Nothobranchius furzeri: one gene and its partner. The protein of the gene in region 1 purifies or fractionates together with the protein of each later gene. This does not show direct contact. Links are inferred from orthologs where the notes say so. Each region holds a gene or a part of one and is shown in the gene's direction. Other genes may lie near its edges.

The links.
Region 2: the proteins of nop58 (region 1) and snu13b fractionate together in Homo sapiens (co-fractionation; 3 studies listed by BioGRID and IntAct, with this or other methods). This does not show direct contact. The link is inferred for Nothobranchius furzeri from reciprocal best matches to the Homo sapiens genes NOP58 and SNU13.

The regions. Positions count from the first base shown.
Region 1 is NC_091742.1:74,286,144-74,290,201, reverse strand, and holds the start of nop58 (nucleolar protein 58), read left to right. Parts: upstream 1-1,235; 5' UTR 1,236-1,360; coding exon 1,361-1,405; intron 1,406-1,983; coding exon 1,984-2,060; intron 2,061-2,136; coding exon 2,137-2,189; intron 2,190-2,401; coding exon 2,402-2,526; intron 2,527-2,599; coding exon 2,600-2,736; intron 2,737-2,915; coding exon 2,916-2,980; intron 2,981-3,626; coding exon 3,627-3,761; intron 3,762-3,913; coding exon 3,914-4,058. Other genes in the region: FMR1-interacting protein NUFIP1, read right to left, coding at 84-315. UniProt on the Homo sapiens protein: Required for the biogenesis of box C/D snoRNAs such as U3, U8 and U14 snoRNAs. Part of the small subunit (SSU) processome, first precursor of the small eukaryotic ribosomal subunit.
Region 2 is NC_091756.1:29,119,080-29,123,260, forward strand, and holds the start of snu13b (NHP2-like protein 1), read left to right. Parts: upstream 1-1,331; 5' UTR 1,332-1,509; coding exon 1,510-1,512; intron 1,513-1,674; coding exon 1,675-1,795; intron 1,796-4,181. Other genes in the region: uqcrc2b (cytochrome b-c1 complex subunit 2, mitochondrial), read right to left, coding at 581-613.

The DNA.
Region 1 (4,058 bases):
ATTGTGGTTTTGATTGATTTCCATAATCAAGCATTCCAAACACAAACATTGAGAGAGGTGTCCTCTTTTAGAAACATAATCACCAAAGGTCTCACAGTGTGGATGGGTCTGACCGTGGTACCCTCCCGCCTGTCCGTGACTCCAGTTCGGACTGACCCAGTAGCTCCAGCTGGGCTCGGACGGCGTCTCTCCCCAGCTCCACATGCTGGGGTGGAAGCTGCTGGCCCGAGGTTGCTGCTGCTCCTGGGGCGTGTGGAACGAGCTTGGAGGGGGACAGCTGAAGTCTGGTGGAGGGTAGCGTTCTGGTTCGTTCATAGCTCCAGCTCCGGTGCCTTACTCAACGTTACCAGCCAGAAAACGGTAAAAGTTAGCTCAAGGTATTAGTCCACGCGCTCGTGTTTTGCCAGAGTTCACGCGTTCGTCACTTCCGTGAAAAAAGTGTGTTGCGTTTTGGATGATCGGAATTTCCTTTTCAATTTCTCAGAACTGGGATTTACAAGTTATCCGGATTACAACTGAAAATTAGATTTCCTACAAAAATATTTTAAAACAAATCTTCACACATCTGGAGTCGCCTATGTGCTTTAAAATTAGCTACATAAAATGTCATTCTTATATTACGGGAGTTTGTTCTCTTTTATTCTCTACTTGTTTGTAATTCTCCTTTTATTACATTTTGTTCTTTAAGTAACATCACGTATTGTTTAATTATATTATCTGTTTTATTGATCAGTCACTTTAATGATGGAATCATTAATAATAATATCGTTTAAAAGTGCGTAAACAGTTAGTTTGGCGTTAAGTTTTACTGTGAAAGCAACATACCGTGCTCATAACCTCTCGCGAGATTTGTTTGCGCGCATCTCTGGCGTTGCCAAATCAAATCCAGTTTGTGACATTTAATTAAAATGTATAAACTTTTTACTTTTTAACAAAATGAACATAACGATAATTTAAAAATAATAAGTAAAAAATACAATACGTGGTTTTACTATTTTGCTATGCGATCATAAAATAAAGGTGGTGGAATAAAAAGATGGAATTGAATTACATTTACTTTGTTAAAAGCTTTCAAGAACACACAAAACAACACAGTTGCATAAATTTATTATAGTTACTGTGTATGGCGTTTTAAAATACATTTATTGTTTTTAGAGTTAGCTAAAACACAAAGGAAATACTGACGTTTGGGTGATTTTGGTTCAAATTAACGGATCTGGCAACCCGGAAGTTTCCCCCTGCAGCAGCTCCTCTGCACCGCGTGCGGTTTCCGAGCCTCACCATCGCGGTGACTGACCGAGACGAAAACTGTCAGCTCTCTGAAAAGAGAGCACTTTAATAAAACAGAGCAGTTTCAAACATGCTCGTTCTATTTGAAACCGCCGCTGGATATGCGATATTCAAAGTGAGTGTTTCATTCTGTCAGTTTACCGATTGAAGTACGATATTTCGCTCGTATGTCTGTAGTTAGCCTCGATTAGCATCCTAATGTCACACATAAATTTGCCCTTAAGTAACAAGTTGGTGTTATTAGGGGAAATAAAACAACCGAGCTCTAAACGTGTCTGTGTGGGCTTGAATATGGCACCGTGTGCTTTCCTATCTCACGTGCACGTCTTCGTTTCTAAACTCAAATGCTAACATGAGTTAGCATGCTGTTAGGGGCCTGTGACCACGTGCGCTCCTGGAAGCTGGCTGAGTTTGATCTCAAACACAACAGAGAATGTAGTACACTCGCTCAATAAAAGGATAATTAATCCGGTCAGGTTATTGTAGAGTCGTTCCTTCTAAATGCACTTAAAGTGTGTTTGTGTGTTTGTGCTAGCAAAGTATCAAGAGCAATGTTGCCCATGTGGCTGTTTTTTTCGTTCAAGTCTATAAAAGACAGTTTGGCTCGGTGCAACACTTGCCATGCACAAGTTCCCTAGCTTCCAGCATACAGACGCTTTTATTGTCTGGTTGCTCAAGTTTATTTGTTTTTAGGTCCTAAATGAATCAAAGCTGCAGCAGGTGGACAGCCTGTACAAGGAGTTTGAGACTCCTGAAAAAGCCAACAAAATGTGAGTATGAACACGTCTCAGTACCCTCAGCTCAACACCTCACTCTGGGGGCTTACATCTGTTTTTCCTCCATCAGTGTGAAACTGAAACACTTTGAGAAGTTTCAGGACACGACGGAGGCACTGGCAGGTAAAAACACTCTGTTGTGTCTATGTTGGTGGTCTGTGATGGATTTCAGTGTCTGATAAAAGCATGAGGTTATCCACAGCAATCGTCACTACCACTGAGACCACCCTGTCCCTTCAGCCAGTAGATAAGAGAAGATGTCCAGGATAGGAGCAGGGATTATTAAAGTGTGCTTATCTAGGTTTAATCAGTTGTTTCTGACCTCTGCTGTGAAGCTGCCACCGCTCTGGTTGAGGGAAAAATCAGCAAAAGTTTGAAGAAGATCCTGAAGAAAGTCGTGGCCAAGGAGGCTCATGAGGAGCTAGCCATCAGCGATGCTAAACTGGGTGGAGTTATTAAAGTGAGTTTCATCCTTCTGCAGACGTCAGAAGATCTGTCTGTTAAAGATTTTCTGATCAAGTTTGTGTTCTTAGGACAAGCTGGACCTGAACTGCGTCTACAGCCCCGCAGTAGCCGAGCTGATGAGATGCATCAGGAGCCAGATGGAGAGTCTGATCTCTGGACTTCCTCCCAGAGAGATGAGCGCCATGTCTCTGGGCTTGGCTCACAGGTCAGGGTCACCCCGGGGTTATACTACAGCTGCTGCTGCTGCCTGTGATTACACATTGCTGTCTGAGATCCTCATGTAGATGTTCCCATCAGCATTCGTCACTACCACTGAGGCTGCCCCTGTGCTCCTGTTTATCGCCTGGTCTGTTGTTTATCAGCTAACACCCTCTCCTGTTGCAGTTTGTCCCGCTACAAGCTGAAGTTCAGCCCGGACAAAGTGGACACGATGATCGTTCAGGCCATTTGTGAGTGTTTCGCTGATGAAGCATCGTGTTGTTTTCATACAATATTAGTGATAATGACCCCTGAATGCAGCATTAGCTGGTTAGGGTTAGACATTAGCGGGCTAAATCTACAGAAACCTGTAGAAAGTAACTATTTTATTTCAGAAATTTCTTTTTTTTAGGATTTGATTGAATGTTCTCCCCTGTGAGGTGGATTAGTAATATTTCAGCCATTCTATAAAAAATCTGAATTTAAGAAATATCAAACTGTCAGTTCAGCCGAATGTTCATTTATTTTAAATAGAAAGATTTAAGTTAGTCAGATGATTAATATATAAATATTTATGAAGAAATTTAGTCTTTTGTCAGGATTTAACATAATGTCAGAGCACCCTTGATAATAATGGTTATTGATCTTATAAATATTATAAGAGGAAACTAAACTGACGTGATAAAAGCTTAAATCAGAAGTTCCTGGATACTTGGTTAGGCTGAACCTCACCTCCAGTGACCCCACAGAAGAAGCTAGTAGCAGCATCGCCGGGCCGTGTGGGTTCAGACATCTTGAAAAATTGAGGAAAGCCCAGTTTGTGTCCCTGGTGTCCTTTTCTGTGATCCTGGCTGTCTTTGTCCACAATAACCGGAGCTTGGGTGTTTTTGTCCTCAGCCCTCCTGGACGACCTGGACAAGGAGCTTAATAACTACATCATGCGCTGCAGAGAGTGGTACGGCTGGCACTTCCCCGAGCTGGGGAAGGTCGTCACGGACAACCTAGCTTACTGCAAAACCGTCCTCAAAGTCGGTAAGGTTCGTTGTTTAAGTAACACCTGGGCTGATGTGAAAAAGAGACGACAGCTTTTGTTTTAATTATCAAAACCCATAAAGGAAGGGCAATTATTTACCTTTTTACTATGAAGTGTCTTACTGATTGGACGGTCGTCTTGTCCGCCCCAGGTGATCGTACAAACGTGTCCAGCACCGATCTGTCAGAAATCCTCCCTGAGGAGATCGAGGCTGAGGTGAAGCTAGCTGCTGAGATCTCCATGGGAACAGAAGTATCCGAACAGGACATCGACAACATCCGGCACCTGTGTGATCA
Region 2 (4,181 bases), on another chromosome or scaffold:
TGAACCAACTTTAAAGAGAGATAACCCACCCTGAATAAGTGTGTGTTTTGTGTGTCCCCGAGTGAATGAACAGTTGGGATTTCCTTTTTGTTAATTGCATGTTTTAAAATGTGCTTTTGTCGTACAAAGATTGAAGGTTTCTTTCCAAATGAAAATCACTTGATAATTTTAGTCTTCATTCACCGATCCAGATATGTATTTGAGTGAGATACACACACCTAGAGTTAAGCCTTCTGAAAAATGCTAAAGCTACTACGTACCCTCTGGTATGCTAACTAGCCTAGCTAGCTGCTAGTTGTTAATTATCTTACATTTAAACAATTGAGGAGTCAGTCATTAGAGCCTAACACAGTGGAGATTAATTCATGATCATATACATACATGTCTAGAAAAATAGTTATTCTTGGTCACATCAAGTTTTCAGATTAAACAGTCATGTCAAGCTTAGCCGGCTGCTTGTTCCAAGACAAGACAGGTATGGTTTAAAACCACCCAAAGACAGTTAGTGACAGCGACTGGATGGGATGGGAACACTGATCCCGTCACGCAAACTTTCAGAACAAATAAAGTCAGCTCTCACCGTTAACTGACTGATTCCCCGAATCCCCTTCATCTCTCCTGTCTCCTTCAGCCAGGACAACGATACAATATGGCTGAATGGAAAGTGCCCTACCCAGAATGCATAGCGCGTTCATCTCTAGCTTGCATAAACCGCGCGCCCTCTTCAGACCAACAAATAAACTGCATCAACAATTTTTCCAGATCTAAAATCACAAAAAACAAAGAGTTCGAGAACAGCAAATGGGAAATATGAATCAAATTGATTGTGTGTGGAAAATAATTGGCAAATTAAATCTGATTAGATCGTGACACTGATTAATATTTTGCATTTACATAATTAGTAATTCTATAATTAACTTTCCATCATCATCATCATCATCATCATCATCATCATCATCATCATCATCATCATCATCATCATCTTTATAAAGCATTTTCCCACAACTAATAGTCACAGTCCACAATTTAGAAAAAAAAACGACTTCATGAAAGCCCACAAACGCCTCAGGTTTAAAACGAAAACGGGTTCAAAGATAAAAAGTCTAAACCTTCTTTCATATTTTTGTTTTTTTTATTAAAGGTTTATAAGATATCCCCTCGACATTTACAGTGTCATAAAGCAATACACACCATGATACACACTCGAAAGCTGTTTTAAAATAACTTTATTTGAACTTTAGAAAGTATTTTTCAGTTTGTTCATGTTGTTTGTTAATAAAGTTTGTTTTGAAAAAATTACATTCCCTGTGCGCATGTGCAGCCTGACGACCATCACACACGTGGGGTCAACGTTTGGATCTAGTGCATGCTGCAGATAATAGTCGTTTTGTGGCGCTATTAAAACTCGAATGAAACAAGAATAATTCACGTTTCGATTGTATTTATATTCTGAAGACAAATCAAATAGTCCTCCGTGAAGCATTTCGCCGAGAGGGCCGGATTACAAAAATGGTGAGCTTAGTGTAAGAGCTAATAGGCTAACAGACGGGCTTGCATGTAGCATGAATAAGAACACACGGTTGTGCGCTTTCTTAAAATAAGATAATGTGATTTTTGTTAAAGCTGGTTTGTTCTGTTGAAGCTTATTTTGAACCTTCTCATTTTTGTGACCAGAGTGAGCCCCAAGTGAACCCAAAGGCCTACCCTCTGGCCGACGCCACCCTGACCAAAACCATCCTGGACCTGGTGCAGCAAGCCTCCAACTACAAGCAGCTGAGGAAGGGAGCTAACGAAGGTGTGGAAACTATTCGGCTATTTTACTCAACATTTATAACAGAATTTGTAACGAAACAAACGTAGAAGGTGAAAATTTTGCTTTTACATGTAATTATTGGATCATAGGCCGTGTTCTCACTGCTGACTCAATGGTCGAACCAGAATTTCTTTCTCAGATGTGACCCACTTCTGCTTTTTATGACCCACATCTGCTTTTAATGACGTTCACAACACATATTCGTCATAATTATCAAGTTAGACCTGGGTCCCTTTCATATGTAATACTTTAAATCTGAATTTTACATCGACATGTGACAGATGTTCCTATCCTGCGGCAGAGGAAGCAGGAAGCTCTTCTTTACATGTGCGTGTCTGCAGCGCTGTACACTTGCCTCACTGGAGGCTGATGGCAGCTGCATTATCAAAAATTAGAATGGCGCATTAAGACCAATCCATCTATTTTCTTCAGTTTATCCGGGGTCGTGTCACGGCAGCTGCAGTCTACGTCGAGAGGCTTATACTTCCCTCTCCTCAGCCACTTGGGCCAGCTCCTCCCGCAGAATCCCAAGGTCTCCCCTGGTCAGCCATGACATATACAGTGCCTTAACATGCACACTAGAGAACCAAAGTATTGCCCTAAAAAGACTTCTGTAGTTTTTTAAAATGCATATAACGCGTTAGTCTGGCTGAAAGGGAATTGGTTCTAATCTAGTTCAAATGATAATGATAAATGACCCGCACTTGTGTAGCGCCTCTCAGAGTAAGGACTCCAAAGCGCTTTACTCTACAGTGTGTAATTCATCCATTAACACACACATTCACACACTGATGGTGATTAGCTACGATGTAGCCGCAGCTGCCCTGGGTGCACTGTCAGAGGCGAGGCACCCAGATAATACAGTAGCAAGGAAGCGCTGTTGAACGACGGGCGCTTTGTCCCTGTTAACCTATGCTCTCAGTCACATCAGCTGGGAAGCGCCACAAAGGCTCGCTCCGTGCAGCGATCATTTTGGCGTGAGCTCTATTTTTACGTGAGCCGTGAGTGAACAATTCTGGCAGGAAGTAAACTAAAGCAGAAGAGGCAGGCTGGTAAATTTAACAAAAAAAAAATTCACAATAAAACACTGCAATTGATAAAAGTGATCATGTTTGTGTATCTAAATAGACTAGAGAGATGAAAAGGAACAAACACACACCTGCAGAAAAACGTAGTGTTACCATAATTTAAAATTCAGTGTTTACAGCAAAAGATGGATTTAATAAATGTGAATACAAACAAATGCACAGCAGCAGAATCAGCACAGTGTCCAATATCAACAAGCAAGGCAAACTGGTTACACACACACACACACACAGAGCAAGGGCATGTTTAGAAAACAGTAGGCGTGAGCAGAAGTGCTCGTTGAAAATTCTCGCCTGATGTGACCAGAAGAGGAGCGGAGAGCGCACAAATTTTGTGAGCAATCCACTCCGCGGTTCTTCGCAGCTGGTGTGTTCTGGGCATAAGTCTCCTCCCAATTGGACGTGCTTCTCTCAATGTGGAGGAGCAGCGGATCTACTCCGAGCCCCTCCTGTATGACCAAGCTTCTCACCCTATCTCTAAGGGAGAGCCCAGACACCTAGTGGAAAAAACTCATTTTGGCTGCTTGTATCCACAATCTCATTCTTTGGGTCAATACCCAAAGCTGGTGACCATAGGTGAGGGTAGGAACGTAAATCGAAAGCTTCGCCTTATGGCTCAGCTCTCTTCTCACCATGGCAGACGGTACAATGTCCGCATCTCTGCAGACTAGGGCTGGGCAATAAATCGAAAATGTATCGTTATCAAATTTTCTGACTTATCGAGATAATTTTCCCATGTCAAGATGTGTGTAGGTTGTCAACGTTCATGTCCCTTTAAGAAGCTGTACCACCTCGTAAAAGTATGACTCAATGTAAAACATGTGACAGCCCCATCTAGTGGACAACTTTTGTTTCTGCGCATTCCTGTAGTTATCGTCCGTTTATCGTTATCGAGGTGAAATCCTCATCGTGATATTGATTTTAGGCCATATTGCCCAGCCCTACTGCAGATGCATCACCAATCCACATGTCGACCTCATGCTCACTCGTGAACAAGACCCAGAGACACTTAAACTCCTGTACTTGAGAGAGGACCTCATCCCTGACCCGGAGAAGGCATTCTACCCTCTTCCGACTCAAGACCATGGTCGCTGACATAGAGGAGCTGATTCTTATCCCAGCTGCTTCAAACTCTGCTGCAGACTGCTCCAGTGAAAGCTGGACATCACGTTCTGATGAAACTAACAGGACCACATCATCTGCAAAAAACGGAGACTCAATCCTTCGGCCACCAAAACAGATCTCCTCCACACCTTGGCTGCGCCTAGAAATCTTGTCCACAA